Linked DNA regions of Schizosaccharomyces pombe. Changing the gene in region 1 together with any one later gene gives a genetic interaction. Each region holds a gene or a part of one and is shown on either strand. Other genes may lie near its edges. The genes, in order: pdp2 and bdc1.

Evidence for each region.
Region 2: mutations in pdp2 (region 1) and bdc1 together harm fitness more than expected from each alone (negative genetic interaction), as found in Schizosaccharomyces pombe (2 studies listed by BioGRID).

Annotation. Positions count from the first base shown.
Region 1 is NC_003423.3:4,038,645-4,049,959, reverse strand, and holds pdp2 (PWWP domain containing protein), read left to right. Parts: upstream 1-8,790; 5' UTR 8,791-8,837; coding exon 8,838-10,544; 3' UTR 10,545-10,786; downstream 10,787-11,315. Other genes in the region: odr1 (haloacid dehalogenase-like hydrolase ), read right to left, coding at 1-781; acetyl-CoA C-acetyltransferase Erg10, read left to right, coding at 2,734-2,744, 2,805-3,981; arginine specific carbamoyl-phosphate synthase Arg4, read left to right, coding at 4,742-8,224; SPOM_SPBC215.06C (LYHRT family protein), read left to right, coding at 11,208-11,229.
Region 2 is NC_003423.3:2,419,966-2,429,921, forward strand, and holds bdc1 (bromodomain-containing protein 1), read right to left. Parts: upstream 5,560-9,956; 5' UTR 5,509-5,559; coding exon 4,609-5,508; 3' UTR 4,450-4,608; downstream 1-4,449. Other genes in the region: SAGA complex subunit Sgf29, read right to left, coding at 1-16; BAR adaptor protein Hob1, read right to left, coding at 825-893, 962-2,293; cysteine desulfurase Nfs1, read left to right, coding at 2,795-4,300; rkr1 (ubiquitin-protein ligase E3), read left to right, coding at 6,602-6,630, 6,820-9,956.

The DNA.
Region 1 (11,315 bases):
CGGAATAGCCTGCCAATTCAAACATGCAAACATCATTTGCTCCGTCACCAAAAGCTAGGACGTTTTCCAAGCTAATGGATGGATAAATCTTTGAAAGAATATTCTTGAGCGCAACCCCTTTGTTATCATTGGGAGGAATTATTTCAAAAGTCTGGGGAAGCGCTTGGGTAAGAGCAACTTCATCCGAAGGAATGCCAGCCAGTCGCTTTTTGGCTTCTTCAAGGCCGTTAGTATCATCATCAAAAACTACCATTTTATTGAAGATGTCTTTCGGGCCCTTAAGCTGAGGGAGCATTTCATTGGCGTCGTCCTTTACTGTTTCCCCACAGAGTCGCAAAAACTTAATACCATGTTGTTTTTTATCCGATTCCTGTTTAATTTGGTAAACGTAATCTTCATCGTAACCGAAAAGTGCACACGTTTGGATGTCTTTGAGCTTATCAATAATATCGATGGCTAAAGAGTTTTTAAGAGCTGCGCAAGCAACGATTTCACCTTTATCGTAAACTACGCAGCCGTTAAGGTGAACACAAGGAAAGACATGTAAACCTAACGCTTCTCTGATATTACCTACGGATGTTCGCTGTCTACCAGTAGCTAACACAAAAGGTAGCTGAGGATAATTTTCACGAAGATACTTTAAAGCACGAAGGTTTCGCGGATGTGGCTTATGATCCGGTCCCAGCAAAGTACCATCAACATCACAGATAATGAGTTGAATATCCTCCGGTTTAGGTAAGACGTTTTTCTTTTGATTAATGTCAATTTCTTTAGACGGCATCTTTCTTTTTTGTATGAGATTTTTAATCAAAACACTGTTAACGTCCAATTTACCTGTCTATGATAAACAATTGATCAATTTATTTAAAAATCAAAGTAACTGTTTTCACAAATACCCACAATGATCTATCGTATTTGTATTTATAGCCCGAAAGATGACACAGATACAATATAACTTGCTGACTAATATTGCTGTATTGAAGAAGCGTACCTGTCGTTCACAGCTGAGGTGATCCCTTTGGTTTGTGAATACAAAGGTTGTGGGGTGTTTAAATAACTTTAAGTAGCATTCCCCACTTTTGGGATGACAAAAGCATGTTGAATGCCGGACCTTCGGTAGTCAAGATCTCGATCCCACTCCGGCGCGTTATTAAAACAGAAAGAGATATTGTACGGCAAGACGAGTATGGAGGGTTTGTAAAATGAAGGGTATGCGTTTGTAGTGAGAAGGAAAGAAGAGCAAACAGCTGTTTGAATAAACATGTAAACAAAAAATGCAAAAAATTATTTAGACAACAAGTTAACGCTAGCTTTGTTCAAAAAAAGATGGAGAGATTATTTAATTTTCCTTTCTTTATTTTCTTTGAAATTTTTTCATTAGGATTTTTATTATACATTTTTCTGCTACGTGAAATTCTGTAGCTCAAACTGTGGGAAGTTCTTTGACATTAGTACAACTATACTTTTGGGACCTTGAGCCCAGAGCAGTTGCCTTTCGCTACACTTACAGTTTCACCAGAACAGAGACTACACAGGAACTAATTCACCGTCGTATAGACATTGTAAGACTCCTTATTAAACTTCTAACTAGCGATGTCCTTATGTAGAAATTAATTATGAGCTGGAAATGAGCTGGAAAAATAAAAGTAAACAAAGAAAAAGGTAATAATATTTAGTTGGATCTATCAATTTATCAAGTTGTCATATTTAATCATTAAATTTTATTTTAATACTAAAATTCATTAACTCAAACTTATATAGAAAGCAAAGAATAGCTTTCTTTTTATTTTTTTTGTTTACCATTTCGAATAAATCTCTTCTCAGTTGGCTTCGTATTTCAACCGTGGCCTTTTAATTGCTTGATTAATCCTTTTATGCTTTTTTTCAATAATAATAATTTTTTAGGCTCAACAAATTTTGATCTGTGAATTTTTCAGCGTATTAATTTTCCATGTTAGAAGATTTTTATTCTACCACCGTAACAATTGTCTCAATTCCTTAAACTGCAAATATGTTTTAATTCTCAAAAACCTTTAGAAATCTTCACACTTGTAAATTAAGTAGGAAACAACATCATTAGCAAATAGCATTAGTCCATTCATCAATTGATTTGTTCGATAGAATTGCATATTACTACCTCATAAACCGCTATTTTACCTTAATTGTGCTTACAGTTGTGTCCAGCAATTACGCTTTACACAAATTATGTGAGCTACGCAGTTTCGTATTCGTTTTAACGATATGTAAAACTGCGGTGAGTTTTCCTTGTCGTCTATTATATCGCAATACACAGGTAATATAAGTAGCAACTGAGTATAGGTATTGTATTAACTAGATTATAATGTTACCTATCACTGATATAGCCTATAACTGAACTGAGGAACGAGGTTCAGCAGTAGCTCTAATTATAGTATTCAGATAATATAGATCTTGATAGATTATTATTAAGATCAATCTCAATATCGTATCATACATAATACGATATATAATTAGAACATGTGACATATAGTGATACGCAATGTAGTGTATTATAGCGTAGTGTAGTATTGCTGACAAATTATACAGCGCAAAGTTTTGCTTAGAGATGTCGAACGTTACCTTTTGAAAGAATACAATACACTCACCTTACCCTGGTATCGCGCATTATAGTACTAGTATATATGGCACAACGTGCGCAAAACCACCATTCATCATATACATTTTTGGCTTGTATATTCTTTGACATATTAAGAAATGGTTAACACGTATGTGATATTAAAGTGAAACTTGATTCATTTATAAATTTCCTAACATTTTCTTTATAGAGAGGTTTACATTGTGTCTGCTGTTCGCACACCCATGGGCAGCTTTGGCGGCAGTTTCGCTTCTCTTCCTGCCACCAAATTAGGCTCTATTGCCATCAAGGGCGCTCTTGAAAGGGTCAATATTAAGCCTTCTGATGTTGATGAGGTGTTTATGGGTAATGTCGTCTCAGCCAATCTTGGCCAAAACCCTGCTCGTCAATGCGCCTTAGGTGCTGGACTCCCTCGTTCCATCGTTTGTACTACTGTTAACAAGGTTTGTGCCTCTGGTATGAAGGCAACAATTCTCGGTGCTCAAACTATCATGACTGGAAATGCTGAGATTGTCGTTGCTGGTGGTACCGAGAGCATGTCAAATGCTCCTTACTATGCCCCAAAGAACCGTTTTGGTGCCAAATACGGTAACGTTGAGTTGGTTGACGGTCTCTTACGTGATGGTTTATCTGATGCATATGATGGACTTCCCATGGGTAATGCTGCCGAGCTTTGCGCTGAGGAACACAGCATTGACCGTGCCAGTCAAGACGCCTTTGCCATTTCTTCTTACAAACGTGCTCAAAACGCTCAAGCTACAAAGGCATTTGAACAAGAAATCGTCCCCGTCGAGGTCCCTGTTGGTCGTGGTAAGCCCAACAAGCTTGTTACTGAGGACGAGGAGCCCAAGAACCTTAACGAAGACAAACTCAAATCCGTACGTGCTGTCTTCAAGAGTAACGGTACCGTCACTGCTGCTAATGCTTCTACCTTGAACGATGGTGCTAGCGCTCTTGTTCTCATGTCGGCTGCCAAAGTGAAAGAACTTGGTCTTAAGCCTCTTGCTAAAATTATTGGTTGGGGTGAAGCCGCTCAAGATCCTGAGCGTTTTACCACTTCTCCTTCCCTTGCTATTCCCAAAGCTCTCAAGCATGCAGGTATTGAAGCTTCCCAAGTTGACTATTACGAGATCAATGAAGCCTTTAGTGTTGTTGCTGTTGCCAACACCAAAATTCTTGGATTAGATCCCGAGCGTGTTAACATTAACGGAGGTGGTGTTGCCATGGGTCATCCCTTGGGTAGCAGTGGTTCTCGTATCATTTGTACTTTGGCATATATTCTTGCTCAGAAGGATGCCAAGATTGGTGTAGCTGCTGTTTGCAATGGTGGTGGTGGTGCTTCATCCATTGTTATCGAAAGAGTTTAGACATTATCATCCTTTAACGATTTGAGAAACCTCTCTTTTTCTTTTTTTTTTGTTTAAAAAGGCGATTTACATCTTACACATTTATACAATTTAGAAGTCGCGTAGATGAAAAGAATTTGAACGTTTGTTTTAACAGTTTAAAAGAAGAAATTTTTTTTCTTTTGCGGCTAATTGTGTACAGCTTATGTGCTATTCTTTTGTAATCAGTATTAGAAAAAAGTAATCCCACATCTCATTATCAGTTGTAAAGAATGGGCTGTTATTAATTATACGAATTGTTGTATCATTTAAAACATTTAAACTGAGCTCAACTATCGATAGTAATAATCCTGCATTTACTGCCTTTACCAGATTTAAACACCCTTGCTTAAAGCAAATCCATTAACCAATATTTTTTCGTTAATACTATATGTATACTCCAAAAATTCCTGATCGTTAATTGTAAGTTAAGGCATTTTTCATAGGATTCCTTAATTATTATATATCGAAGTTGGCTATCTACCACGAATCTTTCCATATCGAAAAACTTGCTGCATTACATTTATCTCCTTATCATCATTATCAGTACTGTGAGAGTTAAGATCAAAGATCAATAGAAGCAAGTCACAAATTTCAGCTTAAGAAGAGTTTGTTCTCTTAGCTTTTGCAAACACCCCTTGTTCTATTTTTTAAAAACTAATCCAGCTGCTCCATTCGAACCAGCATCTCTGCTTGTTTCATAGTAAGTAATTGAAAAAAGTAGCTTGGATTGCAGGTGAAAATGGCATTGTGGGCTACGTCAATGCGTCGTGCCATTCCTGGCATTTCTAAAGCCTTTCTTGGGTCTAACAGAGTTCTTGAAACTGCTGGTGTATCTCAATTGAGTAAACACTTGCTTCCTCAATGGTCCGGTGTTCCACATCGCAAAATTTCCGCCAGTGCCACAAACTTTAACGATAAGGTTAAAGAAAGTAATACCCCAGATGCCAATGCTTATATCCGCTCTGGTCATATTAAGGCCGCCGAGCATGAGAAAGTTAAGAAAGTCGTTGTAGTCGGCTCTGGTGGTTTATCCATTGGCCAAGCCGGTGAATTCGATTATTCGGGCGCTCAAGCTATTAAAGCTTTGCGCGAAAGCTCTGTCCATACTATTCTTATCAATCCTAACATTGCTACTATCCAATCCTCTCATAGCTTAGCTGATGAGATCTACTTCTTGCCTGTCACTGCTGAATACCTTACCCACCTCATTGAACGTGAAAACCCTGATGGCATTCTCCTTACATTCGGTGGTCAAACTGCCCTTAATGTAGGTATCCAATTGGACGACATGGGTGTCTTTGCCCGTAATCATGTCAAGGTGTTGGGTACTCCAATTTCCACTCTTAAAACTTCCGAAGATCGTGATTTATTTGCCAAGGCTTTGAACGAGATCAATATTCCTATTGCTGAATCAGTTGCAGTTTCTACCGTCGATGAAGCTCTTCAGGCTGCCGAAAAGGTTAGTTACCCTGTTATCATCCGTTCAGCGTATTCCCTTGGAGGTCTTGGCTCTGGTTTTGCAAACAATAAGGAGGAATTGCAATCGATGGCTGCTAAGTCATTGTCTTTAACCCCCCAAATTTTGGTTGAAAAATCATTGAAAGGCTGGAAAGAGGTTGAATACGAAGTTGTTCGTGATGCTGCTAACAATTGCATTACCGTCTGTAACATGGAAAACTTTGATCCTCTTGGTATCCATACTGGTGATTCCATCGTCGTTGCCCCCTCTCAAACCCTTTCTGATGAAGAATATCATATGCTCCGTACTGCTGCCATTAAGATTATCCGTCACTTAGGTGTTGTCGGTGAGTGTAACGTGCAATATGCGTTGAGTCCCAACAGTTTGGAATATCGTGTTATCGAGGTAAATGCTCGTCTTTCTCGTTCTTCTGCTTTGGCCTCTAAGGCCACCGGTTACCCATTGGCATACACCGCTGCAAAAATTGCTTTAGGTCACACTCTTCCTGAACTTCCCAATGCTGTTACTAAAACTACCACTGCTAACTTTGAACCCTCTTTGGATTATGTTGTTACTAAGATTCCCCGTTGGGATTTGAGCAAGTTCCAATACGTCAATCGCGAAATTGGATCTTCCATGAAAAGTGTCGGTGAAGTTATGGCCGTTGGTCGTACTTTTGAGGAATCTCTTCAAAAGGCATTGCGTCAAGTCGATCCCTCCTTTTTGGGTTTTATGGCCATGCCCTTCAAGGATTTAGACAATGCCCTCAGTGTACCCACCGATCGTCGCTTCTTTGCTGTTGTTGAGGCAATGCTTAACCAAGGCTATTCTATTGATAAAATTCATGATTTGACCAAGATTGACAAATGGTTCTTGAGCAAACTCGCGAATATGGCTAAGGTTTACAAAGAGTTGGAAGAAATTGGTTCTTTGTATGGACTTAATAAAGAAATCATGTTGCGTGCTAAAAAGACTGGTTTCTCTGATCTTCAAATCTCCAAGCTTGTCGGAGCTTCTGAATTAGACGTTCGCGCTCGTAGAAAACGTCTTGATGTTCATCCCTGGGTTAAGAAGATCGATACCCTCGCAGCAGAATTCCCGGCACATACGAACTACTTGTACACTAGCTACAACGCATCCTCTCATGACATAGATTTTAATGAACATGGAACTATGGTTCTTGGATCTGGTGTCTACCGTATTGGTTCAAGTGTTGAGTTTGATTGGTGCGGTGTCTCTTGTGCTCGTACTCTTAGAAAACTTGGTCATAGCACCATTATGGTTAATTATAATCCTGAAACTGTTTCTACTGACTTTGACGAGTGTGAGCGTTTGTATTTCGAAGAATTGTCCTATGAAAGAGTTATGGATATTTACGAGATGGAAACCGCATCTGGCATTGTAGTAAGTGTTGGTGGTCAACTTCCTCAAAATATCGCCTTGAAGTTACAAGAGACTGGTGCTAAGGTATTGGGTACTGATCCTTTGATGATTGATTCAGCTGAAGACCGTCATAAATTTTCTCAGATTTTAGACAAAATTGGTGTTGACCAACCTGCTTGGAAAGAGCTTACGTCTGTAGCCGAGGCAAGCAAATTTGCAAATGCAGTTGGTTATCCTGTTTTAGTACGTCCTTCCTATGTTTTATCTGGTGCTGCCATGAGTGTTATTCGCGATGAATCTAGTCTAAAGGATAAGTTAGAAAATGCTTCAGCTGTTTCTCCTGATCATCCAGTTGTCATTACCAAGTTTATCGAGGGTGCTCGGGAACTCGATGTTGATGCTGTTGCTTCCAAGGGTAAACTTTTAGTTCATGCCGTTTCGGAACATGTTGAAAACGCAGGTGTTCACTCTGGTGATGCTACTATCGCCCTTCCTCCTTACTCACTTAGCGAAGATATTTTAAGCCGATGTAAAGAAATAGCCGAGAAAGTATGCAAAGCTTTCCAAATTACTGGTCCTTACAACATGCAAATTATCTTGGCCCAAAACCCTGATAAACCTGATACTCCTGACTTGAAGGTTATTGAATGTAACCTTCGTGCTTCTCGTTCATTCCCTTTTGTTTCCAAGACTCTTGGCGTTAACTTCATTGACGTTGCTACTCGTTCTATTATTGATCAAGAAGTACCAGCTGCTCGTGATTTGATGGCTGTGCATCGTGATTATGTTTGCGTTAAAGTTCCCCAGTTCTCCTGGACACGTTTGGCCGGTGCTGACCCTTACCTTGGTGTTGAAATGAGCTCCACTGGTGAAGTTGCTTGTTTCGGTAAGGATGTAAAGGAAGCCTATTGGGCTGCACTTCAGTCTACTCAAAACTTTAAGATTCCTCTTCCAGGTCAAGGTATACTTTTAGGTGGTGATCGACCTGAACTTGCTGGTATTGCTGCTGACCTTTCCAAGCTTGGATATAAACTTTACGTTGCTAATAAAGATGCTGCTAAATTATTACAGCCTACCTCTGCTGAAGTCGTTGAGTTCCCTGTTAAGGACAAGCGTGCTTTACGTGCTATATTTGAAAAATACAATATTCGCTCGGTTTTCAACTTGGCTTCTGCTCGCGGCAAGAACGTTTTGGATCAAGACTATGTGATGCGCAGAAATGCTGTTGACTTCAACGTCACTCTTATTAATGATGTTAACTGCGCCAAATTGTTTGTTGAGTCCTTGAAGGAGAAGCTCCCTTCCGTTTTATCTGAGAAGAAGGAAATGCCATCAGAAGTCAAGAGATGGAGTGAATGGATCGGATCTCATGATCTTTAGTTTGCCGCCTAAAGTGTCTAATATATGAGTTCATGCGATTTGACTGTTAATATTCCTTTTTGATTGAATCACTGTTGGTGGTTTCTGCTTAATTTATAGTCTGTTCGTTTCATTTTGCTAATTTCTTGGATGAATTAGCGGTTGTATTTTGGGTTTGTTTTTGTGTTCTCGTTTTGCCGATAAACGTTCTCCTTTAGATTTTTCACATAAACATTAAATCAATTGAATTATTGTTTCCTTTTACTTTAGAAACTTTCTTAAAAAAAAATAATACAAGTCCATTTCCAAATGTTAATATCTTAATTTGTTTTGTTCTTTAATAGTAATGGGCATTTATATGGGCCTAATATTTATAAAAGCCTTTAGAATTCTTTAAACATCCGCTACTACATGTTTGTTAGTATCTCCAACTATTATAACTTTTACTGATCAATAGCGTAAAACTCAATGGCGTTAGCATCCTTACTTCCTCGCTTAATTTTATTTAGAATAAACCTTCGGTTAATGAAATGATACGGTGAGAACTACGTGCTCATTATGTCTACCATCTCACATTAATGCTTCTTCCCTTTACCTTTTACAGGACGTTTTGGGTAATACGGTGTTTTGTAAAATGACTGAAATAAAGGATTCAAGCGTAAAGGATGAAAATCCTGGAAAACAAGAAGAGTCTTCTATTGCAGTTGAATCACGAGAAATGTCAACGGCAACTAACAATTCGAAAAATATCGAAACCACCAGTTCGAATGGAGCAGAAGATATTAAAATCCAAAGGGATGTAGGTGATGATAAGGATTTGGACGATAAGGAAGCAAATGACAAAAGTTCAAAAGGTTTGGAAGAGGAATCTGATTCCAAAGATAGGAAAACTATAGAAACGGATCAGCCTTCCAATAATATTGGCGATATAAAAAGTCAAAAATCTGAGAAGTCTAACGGCAATGCGAGAAAAGAAACCAAACAATCTGAACGCGTCAATTATAAGCCTGGAATGCGCGTTTTAACAAAAATGTCGGGATTCCCATGGTGGCCTAGTATGGTCGTTACAGAGAGCAAAATGACCAGCGTCGCGAGAAAGTCTAAACCAAAGCGTGCAGGAACATTTTATCCCGTAATTTTCTTTCCCAACAAGGAATACCTATGGACAGGATCTGATTCTCTTACTCCTTTAACTTCAGAGGCCATATCACAATTCTTGGAAAAACCCAAGCCAAAAACTGCTAGTTTGATTAAAGCTTATAAAATGGCTCAAAGTACACCAGATCTGGACTCGTTGTCCGTTCCTTCTTCCGAATCAGAAGTTTCTGAAGAAGAATCTGACCAAGAAATGTCGGAACCATCTCCAATAGAAGAAGATTATAATGATACGAAAGCTAGACGCATTACTAGGAAAGGTACAAAGAAAAAAACCGTAACATTTGACCCTTCACTTGAATCCGTACCACAAAAACGCCTCAATGCATCCTCAAACGTTAGTTCGAACCCTGCAAAAAAAACTCGTGTTTCTCCTCGGCGTAGTACTGCTGCTTCTAAAAAGAAAAGCCCTTCATCTAAAAGAGCATCCTCCGACGAGATAGAAAAGGATAAAGAAGAAGAAGAGGGCTCTGTCGCTAATGAAGAAGACGTTGCAAAGAGAACTTTTCACTCACGAGAGCAATCTTTGTTGTTTCTTCGACACAAATTACAAAGCAGCCTGTTATCACCAAAACAGGACCTTAGTCAAGTCGACTATAAATTAGTTCATAATTATCTAGACAAGCTCGCAAACTTCCAAGGTATTGATGTTCCATTAATCCAGAAAACTAAAATTGCTGTTGTCGTGAGGAAGATTTTTTCCTTAGCTGGACTTCCAAAAGAAAATGAGGACGAAGTCAAAAGCATATGTGGAGATATTTTGGAGAACAGATGGAAATCTTTGCTGCAGGAGATTTCATCTCAAAAACAACTGTCAACCGATGCTTCACAAACACAGGATGCATCAATAGCAAATGAAAATGAAACCGAGATAGCTTCTCTTGATGAAGGCTCTGAATCAAAACCAACGCCGTCTCCACCAGCTGAACAGCTCACGGATCAAAAGCAGAATGAAGACAACGAGGATAAAGTTAAAGCTGATTCCAACGGACCAACACAAAACGAGAACGAAACAGCTGATGCTTCAAAAGACATGATAAGTGAAGAGAAAAGTAGCAAGGATGCCGATAATTCTTTAGAAGTTGCTGGTAAAGATTTTGCTGAAGATGGTACCGAACAAACTCCAAATCTAGCTGAACCTGAGGATGGCGTAGCAGCAGTAGATTTGTCAACTGGTCAAAAATAGTGAAAATGTTTTGCGTTAAGAACTAAAACAAACAAATAAACCTTTATTTTTTGGAAGTTGTGTTTAACAATACCACAAAAAACTCAATTCAACTTATACCTTAGACTGTCTTTTTTTTTTGTGATAGTCTTACAACATGCCAATTGCCCTTATTATTCTAGCCTTCAGTTTGCTTTAAATGATTGCTAGACAGAATAATTAACATAATTTAAAAGCTATGTATATTTCTTTAATGAACTGAATAACTGGATTGCACTGTTTTTACTTGCTTATAAATCAAGTTAATCAATCTTTTATTGCTTTTTTTGTAGGCGTATTTTGATGGTAAAAATCATAATTACCGCTCAACGGCAAACCATCTATATCGTGTCAAGTAATACGGTTCGAACACTGAATAACATTGTCAAAGAAGTGTTGCTAGGTTTACAACATTATTCTAACTATTACTATTTTTTTAAAAAAGGCATTTGATTGTAAAAAAATAAAATGAAAAAGTGCAAAAAATAGGATGCGCGGCTTTACATAGCACAGTGAAGATGTTTCAACGAAATTTTTTTCAACAAACTTTACCTACCACAATTGAAGGACGCTATAGTGAAATCAGTATTTACTTTAAGGGGACTTCATTTATTAACTTAATTAAATTAAACTAAGAATTTAGACATGGTTTCATTTTGCTGTGAAGGTAACTTTCTATAACAGGAAGTTCGCTATTATCCTGCGAATTTCCTGCTGTGTTTTTATATAGATTACATTTTTAATGCTAACCAA
Region 2 (9,956 bases), 1.6 Mb from region 1:
TTATGGGGCGTACCATAATATCCTGTAACTGATATTCTCAAACAACACTTTTCATCATCCAATTTCCTTTGGTAGGTGCTAACTCACTTACTAGATTGATTTGCATGATACTATCAGCTATGCAAATTACTTTATTACAAATTTCATTAACACTCGATATTGTATTTACCGTATCGTTGCTGCATTAGGTTACGTAGTTAACTATTCACTTAAGTCATGGAATACTGTCTGTTAACGAAGTTCGTTAAACGATTCTCGTTTAGCAACGACTCTAAATACTGTATGTCGTATATTTCCTGCTAGAATACATCAATTCCGATTGTTATACTGTTGAAACTACAAATCCCAAAAAATTCAATATCACAATGAAAGCTCTAGTTCGAATCATGTTTTGCTTCAATCCTAGCTAGCACTGTTAAAGTATAGATATAAGAAAGGACAGCTTTGTTGATAGACTAGTTAAATTAAAATAAAAACAGTTAAACGTAATTAATATATATAAGTTTACGTTATTCAAAACATTTCAAAAAATGTGCTACTCTTTGAAGTACACGTCAGTAAGGAAACACGTTGATAAAAAGCCAGTATTCAAACATAGACAGTGTTAAATTATCACTGGAGATGATGATGTATGGAATACATGTCTAAATTTAAGCATCATAGTTAGAACGACAAAATTGATAGAAATTGAATAGCAGTGTAAAACTTGTTGAAGCGCGCACACAAACAGTAACCTGTAACAACAAGTCCTATAATCAAGCTTCTATATTGACTTCAGTAGGCAGCGAGATTTTAAGACACATCTAGGTAAATTTAAAAACGCTTTATTCAAGCTGAACATAATTACCAGGAAATTGACCTTGTGCACCGTTAAGTCGGCCAATCCACCATTCCTAAAATATATATTAGTAAAGTCCTTGTTTAATAAGAAAAAAATGAAAATTTAAGTTTAAGTACTTACATTTTGATTATCAGTACGTGAAACAACTTCGATACGATCGCCAGCATGAAAAGATAAATCTCCGGCTGCTTGGGCAGCATAATCATATAAAGCAACAACATGCTCTGCGGCGGGAGCCGCAGCAGGTGCAGGCGCTGGTGGAGGTACGGGAACTGCGGCTGCAGCTGCTGCTACCGGTGCAGCAACAGGTGTGGTCACTGCCGCAGCAGCAGGTTGAGGCATAACTGGAGGGGGAGGAAAGGCCGCTTGAGGGTATTGAGCAGCTGCTGCTTCAGTTGTAGTAGTGGTCGTCTGAACAGTTTGATAACCTGCACTTGGGGTAGAATAATCGGAAGCTCCGGCAACCGATGGCGTTGAGTATGGGGGTGGAATATCCGTAGCTGTCGAAGAGGAGGGTTCGGCTGCTGCTTCTTCACGCTTTGACGAAAAGGAAGAAGAAGAAGAAGCAGTTGCATCTTTACCACCCGGTCCCATACCCGGTCGTTTATACGTCGGTTTAGCGGTCTTAAATTTAGTAATCGTCAAAGCCTCTGCGCGATCTTTAACATCGCCGCGTCTTCTTTCGTACGATTCCAAAATATCGGTATTGAAATCAAAGTACTGAATTTCGCAGTGACTCATCTTTTCATAAAGAACGTAATAGACATTTAATTGCATATAGTAAAATCCTTGGAATAAGGGAGCAATGAAGCTCTGAGCCAATGCAAATAGTTTAGGTAACTCCTCCTTCAGCATTTCATTATAATATTCATATTCTTGGGAAGATTGTTCAAAGGCGGTTTCAGCTTCATAAAGCTTCTTCTCATCTTTAAGGCTTTTATCCTTCTTTTCCTGAAGTTTCTTGAAAGATGAACGATGACGATCATAATCCAGCTGCTTATGATCGCGTTTCAACAAAAGCTTATCTACATCCTTAACAATCTTGAGCAGTTCACCAGTTGGATTGACAATGCGAGTGTTGATAACATCCATTTCAGAAGCCAAATTCTTTTGGAGATCGTATACAATTTCCTTGTAAGCCTCGGCAGCCTCAATACCTTCCGCATTGCCTTCTTGCTCATACGATTCAGGATCCGAAGCACGCCCACTAATAGGCTTGTAAATTTCAATACAAGCATCGGCAAATCCAATTTGATGATTCAATAACCCATTAATAGCATCAGTATACTTTTTGGCGTCTTCAGCCAGCTTTTTCGCTTCCGTTTCTAAAGACTTAAACCGTCTTCCAGCATCCTCATAAATAGGATCTTTGGTAATCTCTCCAACATTAAACTTGCTGCGTAGAGTCTGCGGCGTACGCGCAAGTGCCTTTGTAAACCCTTTCCAGCTCATCAAGTAATTCTGGTAGTTGGTATGTCTGACCCTTTCAAATTCCCTTAACCATCCTTCTCCGTATTCACGTAGCATACTTCGCAGCAATGCTGATCGTTTCCTGTAATTGTGCCGAATCGCAAATACAGTATACTACGCAACGTCTCGTTATTTTTATTTTTATTTTTATCTAGATGAGGTGAAAACATAGTAAATATAAGGCAAACATTTGATTTTAATTTGCTCGTCTCTATGCTCTTTATTACAGTTTTTATTCGATTGAACAGTGTCTCCGTCGTTTACGATGCAATGATAACATACTGATAATTGCGCAGCTCTACATGTATTGGGTCGAAGCTTAGTTTTGGTTGGTTTCAGATACGCCGCCAACCAAAATTTTTATTAGTCAGATCGCAAAATTTGAACTTAGCAACTGCCAAATTATTTTAAAAAGGACTTGTTTCTTGTTGTTTAGGAAATAAATAAAGAATTAGCAAAATTTCCTCTATTTTGGAAACAACCATGTCCAAAATGGGAAGTTTGATGCTTTCTAGAGCAAGATGCCTTCTTGAACTACGAAGTGCTTTATTTTTTGTCAAGCGAGAGAGTCAGGATATTAATAATGTTAGACAGAGTCTTGGAGTTTACGGTAGGTCGTTTATGACTTCCAGTCGTATGGACAAACCTTCAATGAGCAATAAACCTCGTGAACAAATGTACGGGCTAGGAAACATGACGGCGGTTCAAGAGCCCATACCGGAAAATTCTTTGAAAACAGTAACTTTGGATCAAGCACAAACCGCTGCTAGTACGGTTACGGGATTGCATCCTATATATATGGATTTTCAAGCTACCTCTCCTCTCGACTATCGTGTACTAGATAGTATGCTTCCCTTCTTCACTGGAATTTATGGAAACCCACATAGTCGAACACACGCCTATGGCTGGGAAGCAGAAAAAGCTGTTGAAAATGCACGCCAAGAGATAGCATCTGTAATCAATGCTGATCCAAGAGAAATTATTTTTACATCTGGCGCAACTGAATCAAATAATGCTATTTTGAAAGGTGTTGCCCGATTTTACAAAAGTAGGAAAAAGCATCTTGTTTCCGTTCAAACTGAGCACAAATGCGTTTTGGATTCCTTACGTGCTCTCCAAGAAGAAGGGTTTGAAGTTACTTTTCTACCTGTTCAAACTAATGGCCTTATTAATTTGGATGAATTACGTGACGCCATACGTCCTGATACTGTTTGTGTAAGTGTAATGGCCGTCAATAATGAAATTGGTGTTTGTCAACCACTAGAAGAGATTGGCAAAATTTGTCGACAGAAGAAGGTTTTCTTTCACTCAGATGCTGCTCAAGGATATGGAAAAATTGACATTGACGTCAATCGAATGAACATTGATTTAATGTCTATTTCTGCTCACAAAATTTACGGCCCTAAAGGAATTGGAGCCGCTTATGTTAGAAGACGTCCTCGTGTACGTTTAGAGCCGCTTATTAGTGGTGGAGGTCAGGAACGAGGTTTACGAAGTGGTACTCTTGCTCCATCTCAAGTAGTGGGATTTGGTACTGCGGCCCGTATATGCAAAGAAGAAATGAAGTATGATTATGCACATATTTCCAAACTATCCCAAAGATTAATAGATGGCCTTCTTGCAATCCCATATACATCTTTGAATGGCGACCCTAAATCTAGATATCCAGGTTGTGTCAACATTTCTTTCAATTATGTAGAAGGGGAATCGTTGCTTATGGGTTTGAAAAATATCGCGCTGTCTTCTGGTTCTGCCTGCACATCCGCATCTCTAGAACCGTCTTACGTTTTGCGTGCAATTGGTCAGAGTGATGAAAATGCTCACAGTTCTATTCGTTTTGGTATTGGCCGATTTACAACTGAAGCCGAAATTGATTATGCTATTGAAAATGTGAGTAGACAAGTTTCTTTCTTAAGGAATATGAGCCCGTTATGGGATTTGGTTCAGGAGGGTGTCGATCTTAGTACTATAGAATGGAGTCAACATTGAAGAACGCTTAATTTTACCTATTGAAGATTTTATTTTTTTTTTATATGAACGTATGGAAGTTGAAACTTTTTACCAGCTGTTATATAGTTACAAAAAACTAAATTGTAAATTATCTCATACTTGATTTGAATCTATACGAAATAAATACACGGTTATGATATAAAAAAAAACATAAATTTGATAAAAATAAAATATAGTACCATTTAAAAAATATGTACCCCCAAGTCGTCAAAATTATAGCCAAAAAATGATATGAATCCAAAGCATAAACAAAAAATGTTAAGGAATATAATTAAAATGTAAAACACTCATTGAGAACGGGTACTTGCCTGACGATAAATATCGAAAAGCTCTTCTGTGTAGCGAAAACATTCATCTCCCCATATGGACATGGCGTTGGCTGGATCGCTGCCATTGTACATTTTACAATTAGCAAAGATTCGAAGAACTTCTCGATACAATTCATCCACTTCCGTGATGTTACCCTCTTTGATCATATTCTTCAATGTTCGTAAGTCTTGAGGTTTATAAACTAAAGAATCGTAATCTGGTGCCTCTTTACGATTTACAGGATGACTAAAAGGTGCTCCAAACCTGTGATTAGAAATATTGTCGAGCATAGGAAGCATTGCACTTTGGAACTTTTTCAAAGACTGCTTTTCTTCATTAGACAGGGCAGCGCGCTTTTTTGGAGTCTTAGTTGTGGGTGCAACTTCGGGTTCGATATTTGCAGGAGCTGCAATCTCTGGTGTTTTCTTTCTAGAACGAAGAGATTTATTAGCAGCCTCTACAGGAGCTTCAGTTTTCGCTTTTTTTGCTTCCTTGTCAGCTTCTTCAAGTGCGAGTTGATCCTCCACAGCTTTTGCCTTTGCCTTTGCAACCTCTTCATATAAGCTTTCCAGTTTTTTTTCACATCCCTGTATCTCTTCAGCCAAATCCTTTAGGACATCGTTCCGCAGCCTTTTTCGTAGATTTTTTCGAGCATCATTATCGTTTTGAGAAACTTGGTTGGAGAGAAGCTTTGAATCAGATTTATTGCTATCATGCATCCATTCCTCGACCAGATCCTTTAATTGATCTTGTTCAATTGGCTCTAAAAGCAGGCTGCTTTCTGCCGTTCGATTGAAGAGTTCTTCGTTGGGAGCATTAGGATTTTCTTGCTGAATATCAAGATATTGTAAAACAGCAACCTCTTGAGCAATATTCATTATGCACTATACTTGCATCATCTCCACTAATTTTACAAGACAAGACACGGTAGAAAGGGAGTCCTTCTTTTCGTAGTGTACTACCTCCTTCATACGGCGTGCGCGTAAAACCTAAATTCTCGTTAGAGATTGCTGTAAAACTTCATTAACGCAACAATGCTAAATAATTTACGTTAGTTGCCAACCTTACACATGTTGCATATCTTAATAATTCAATGTCTTAGTTTGAAGACTTCTATAGAATTGCAGTTTGTCAAATTGTAATTGATTCCTATGATACCAGTGAATTATGTTCTATAAACCTTTTGCGTAAAATCTTTAAATTTTGCTGGATAGTCACATCATACTAACCAAGTTTCCAACGTTTTCTGTAACTAACGCAATATTGAACAGATCGCAATAAAAATCATCGTATTTTTACTGCATCCTTAAATTAGATAAGGTATTTTGTAGATGACACCGTTTGATAAGTTACTTTAAATAAGTTTTGCGATTGCAATTAAAGAATCTGATATGTAAGCTACGCAGTTTGGTATCTGATTTAAGGATACGTAGAACTGCGGTGAGTTTTCCTTGTGATCTATTATATTACAATACACAGGTTGTATAAGTAGCAACTGAGTATAGGTATTGTATTAACTGGGTTATAATGTTACCTATCACTAATATAGCTCATAACTGAACTGAGGAACGAGGTTCAGCAGTAGCTCTATTTATAGTATTCAGATAATATTGATCTTAATAGATTATCATTAAGATCAATCTCCATATCGTATCATACATGGTACGATATATAATTAGAACATGTGACATATAGTGATACGCAACGTAGTGTATCATAGCGTAGTGTAGTATTGCTGACATGATATACAGTTTAGCAAGCTACTTAATTCCTTTTCCGTCATCACAAATAGTTAAGCTTTAAAGTATCAGTTTATAAAGCATTGCATACCACAATGAATTGCTTAAAACAACGTTATCAATAACCTATGATAACGTCGGACAGACTGATATCTGATTTCCTTTGTAATTTTTCATTCTTTGTGCCAAATTGATCCGCTGCATTCCATTGCATTGTAAACTAAAAAAAAAGATGAAAAAAAAATCTACGGATTTATACGGGTAAGTAAAGATGTGAGAAGATGGTAACAAAATGGGTTTGCACACAAAATAGGGTCTTTCTCATTGGATATATGCAGAACACCTATGTTATTACAAATCCATACTTTTCCATATTTTGGGGAAGTTTGTTTAAAAATACAACGATTCTTTTTTCTTTATGTATGTGCCGAAATGCTAATCTCTTTATAGCCGTAAAAATCCCGGGATGCAATCGATGTCAGGATCGTTTTCATCCTTGCAAATTGCGTTGGATGAGTCCAGCTCAAATTTTAGTACGATATATGAGCCTCCAGACTTGTCTGGTTTAGACGCAGAAATGATTGTTATTGTGAAGAATTTGCAAAAGCGTGACATCGTAACGAAATGTCGAGCTTTACAAGATTTAATTCAGTGGAATGACCCATCACAGTTTGACAATGAACAGTTTCTAAATGCTTTGGCAGTTTTATTTCCTCGACTATCTATAGAAGTGGAACGACATGTGCGGTTAAAAATCTTTGTCTTCATGTCTGTTCTATCTTCTGCGCTTCAAAAAAAACTTGCACCATGGCTCAAATTCTATATCACACCTTGGGTTATGGGTTTTTTTGATTCAGATCGTGCAGTCTCTGTATCAGCAAAAGACTCTTTTAAAAATTTACTCTCCGAAGAAAAGTGGCCCCATGTTTGGCTGAAGTTTGGATCTACTATCGCACCTATAGTCACTGATGTTTTTTTACATGAAGACAAAGAATCGTTAACGGATTTGCGTTTTTTTTCAAATGAAGAAGCTGAATCGAAAGTTACCAGAGTTAAATCTAGCTGTCTTCTGACCCTTTCTTTTCTTTTCAAACAGACTGCCGATTTAGAAAATCTAGAGACAGATAAGAAGATAGATAAGCAAACCTTTAAGTCATCTCTTTACGAGAACTTGTCTACACTTTTCAAGTCTGACGAATTTTGGTCTTTGGTTTCCTCACCTCAGGATGGTGTCACAGTGAGCCTGAGCGATTTATTGCTCATTATCTTGAAGTATGATAAACCTTTTGTTACCCAATATAAAGAGAAATATTTTAAACGTGTTTCACGAATGATTTCACGACTAACTAGTTTGACCTGCGTCCCTATGCTTAGGCTTCTTAGTAACATGATTTCTAATTTCCCCAACGAGGTTCACCAATTTGCAAATGATTCAAAACGTCCTCTTTCAAAGTTGTTCTCAAATTTGATCACCAAGCGAATCAGCCTTCCTAATTCTGGGTTTTACACATCCTTGCTGAATTTGTTTAAAAGTATAGGCGCTATGCAGCTCGTTCCTTCCATTGAAAGTGTAGACGAATTGTGTGATGCATTCTTAGAAACTGCAAATCAAGAACAACGTTTCCTATCTACTGAAGTTTATGACTGTTTACTCAATTTCTTGTCATTTGTTTATACCGATTCTTCCGATCCTCAAATTAAGGATCATGTCCGTGACCGTTTAAGGACTATATTTACCAGGTATTTTAAAGGTGAATTTGTTCTACGCTGTTCAACGTCTGATTTCGATCATTGCTTGCAAAGTGTATTCGATAAAAATTCAGATTTCGCCTCGCTCTGGAACGAAGTGTTATTTGGTTTCTTTAATGATGAATCTATGGACATTGAAACTATCCCATTTGATTCTTTATCACGTAACTTAAGCTTAACCGTTCAAACAGTTTTATATCTTAAAAATAGAAATTTTCAAACTGGAAATGAAGTCATGTCGATTCTGGGACCTTGTTTGTCATTTTTAATGAAATTGTCTACCCACAAAAATGAACGTATTGCATGTTTATCGGCATCCCAGTTAATAACTGTTTGTCACATATTCAGTGATACTACATTGATTAAACCCGTTAAGGAACTTTTTCAAAAATATTTGGTGAATGATTTGCCTTCTTCGATTTTAAAGCTTGGGCCTCAATCTCCAGCCTTTACTTTGCTTCGTGATATTCTTTTACTTCTTAAAGATTACGCGGATCTCTCTGAGCCTTGGGAAAATGTTGCTAATCAATTCACAGTGTCCTTTGATGAACTGGAAAATATTAGGGTTTTAAATAGTCTTCCCTCTTTGTTTGCTGATGGAAAACTAAGGGGGAAAATTTCCTTGGTAAAAACATTAGTAGAATACTATGATACAGCAGTATTTGCTATTATGCAAAACCCAGGAAACGATTGGGATATGATAAGAGCGTGCATTGGGTCTAAGGAAATCCTTGTTCCAGAAGAAACGATTAAAAATATTTTGTTTACGACCTTGGAGTATTTTCTTACGAATGATTGGGTTGATAATCATTTGATTATTTTGTGCGCATCATTGCATTCTCTGAAAGCTCATCTTCCAACAATATTTGATGAAAATAAATCCTTGTATTCTTTGCTTCCTGTGATCCTTTTCAGTAAACCAGAAGATGATGGCCATGTTGCAGCTCATTTTGAAAGTATCTTCTCCCTATTGAAAGAGAAAGCATTAGAAGATTCCGGTTTTTCTCTTAAACTATGTTCAGAAGTGCAGGAATGGTCATTGAATAAGGTTTTGAATGGTTCTATAAATGAAAAGTTAGCTGCTGATAAGTGTGTTCTTGTTTTCAATTCGTTTGGAAAACTCCCTTCAAACTTCTTTACGTTTCCTGCCTCTTTTTGGGATGCAAAAATATCCTCTTGCATTCCTTTTTTCTCTAACAAGTTGTTCATTGACCAAGATTTTATTCTCGGATTTCTAGATTTAGTTGCCTCAGAGCCCATAAATGTTGATATGACAGACGTAGGTACTCAATTTGTGCATATATTCCATGCCTCCTTATACACTTTATATTATGTTGAAACTACCGGATGCGACGGTGATGCTTTATTTAACCTTACGTTTGCTTATTTGTTAATACGAATTTATTTACAAAATGGCATACAAAGCATAATTGATGTTCCCATCCGAGATGCTGGAATATTTGTGGAATCTTTTGAATGCTACTTCAAAGGTGAAGTGGTTAAATTTATGCGCGATAAGGATGCTTTGACAGTATTAAATGAGCTTTTAATTGATGATATAGATGGGAAAATGCCTGTATTGTTTAAAAGATTTAAAAATTTGTCATCTGCAGAGAATACTACTTCTTTTTCTATATTTGCCGCTCAAGGGTTAACAGATTTTTTGATTGTTGTCTCAAATTTGTTAGAAATGGATGAGAAACACGTTGATGTTGTTTTAGGAAAGCTGGGCTTGAGCTCTTCAAAATCCCCTATTTTCGTATCTTCTATTTTAGAAGGATTGAAGCCATTAGAAGTAGATTCTGAAATTATTCAACGAATTCGTTTTAAAGCAGTAA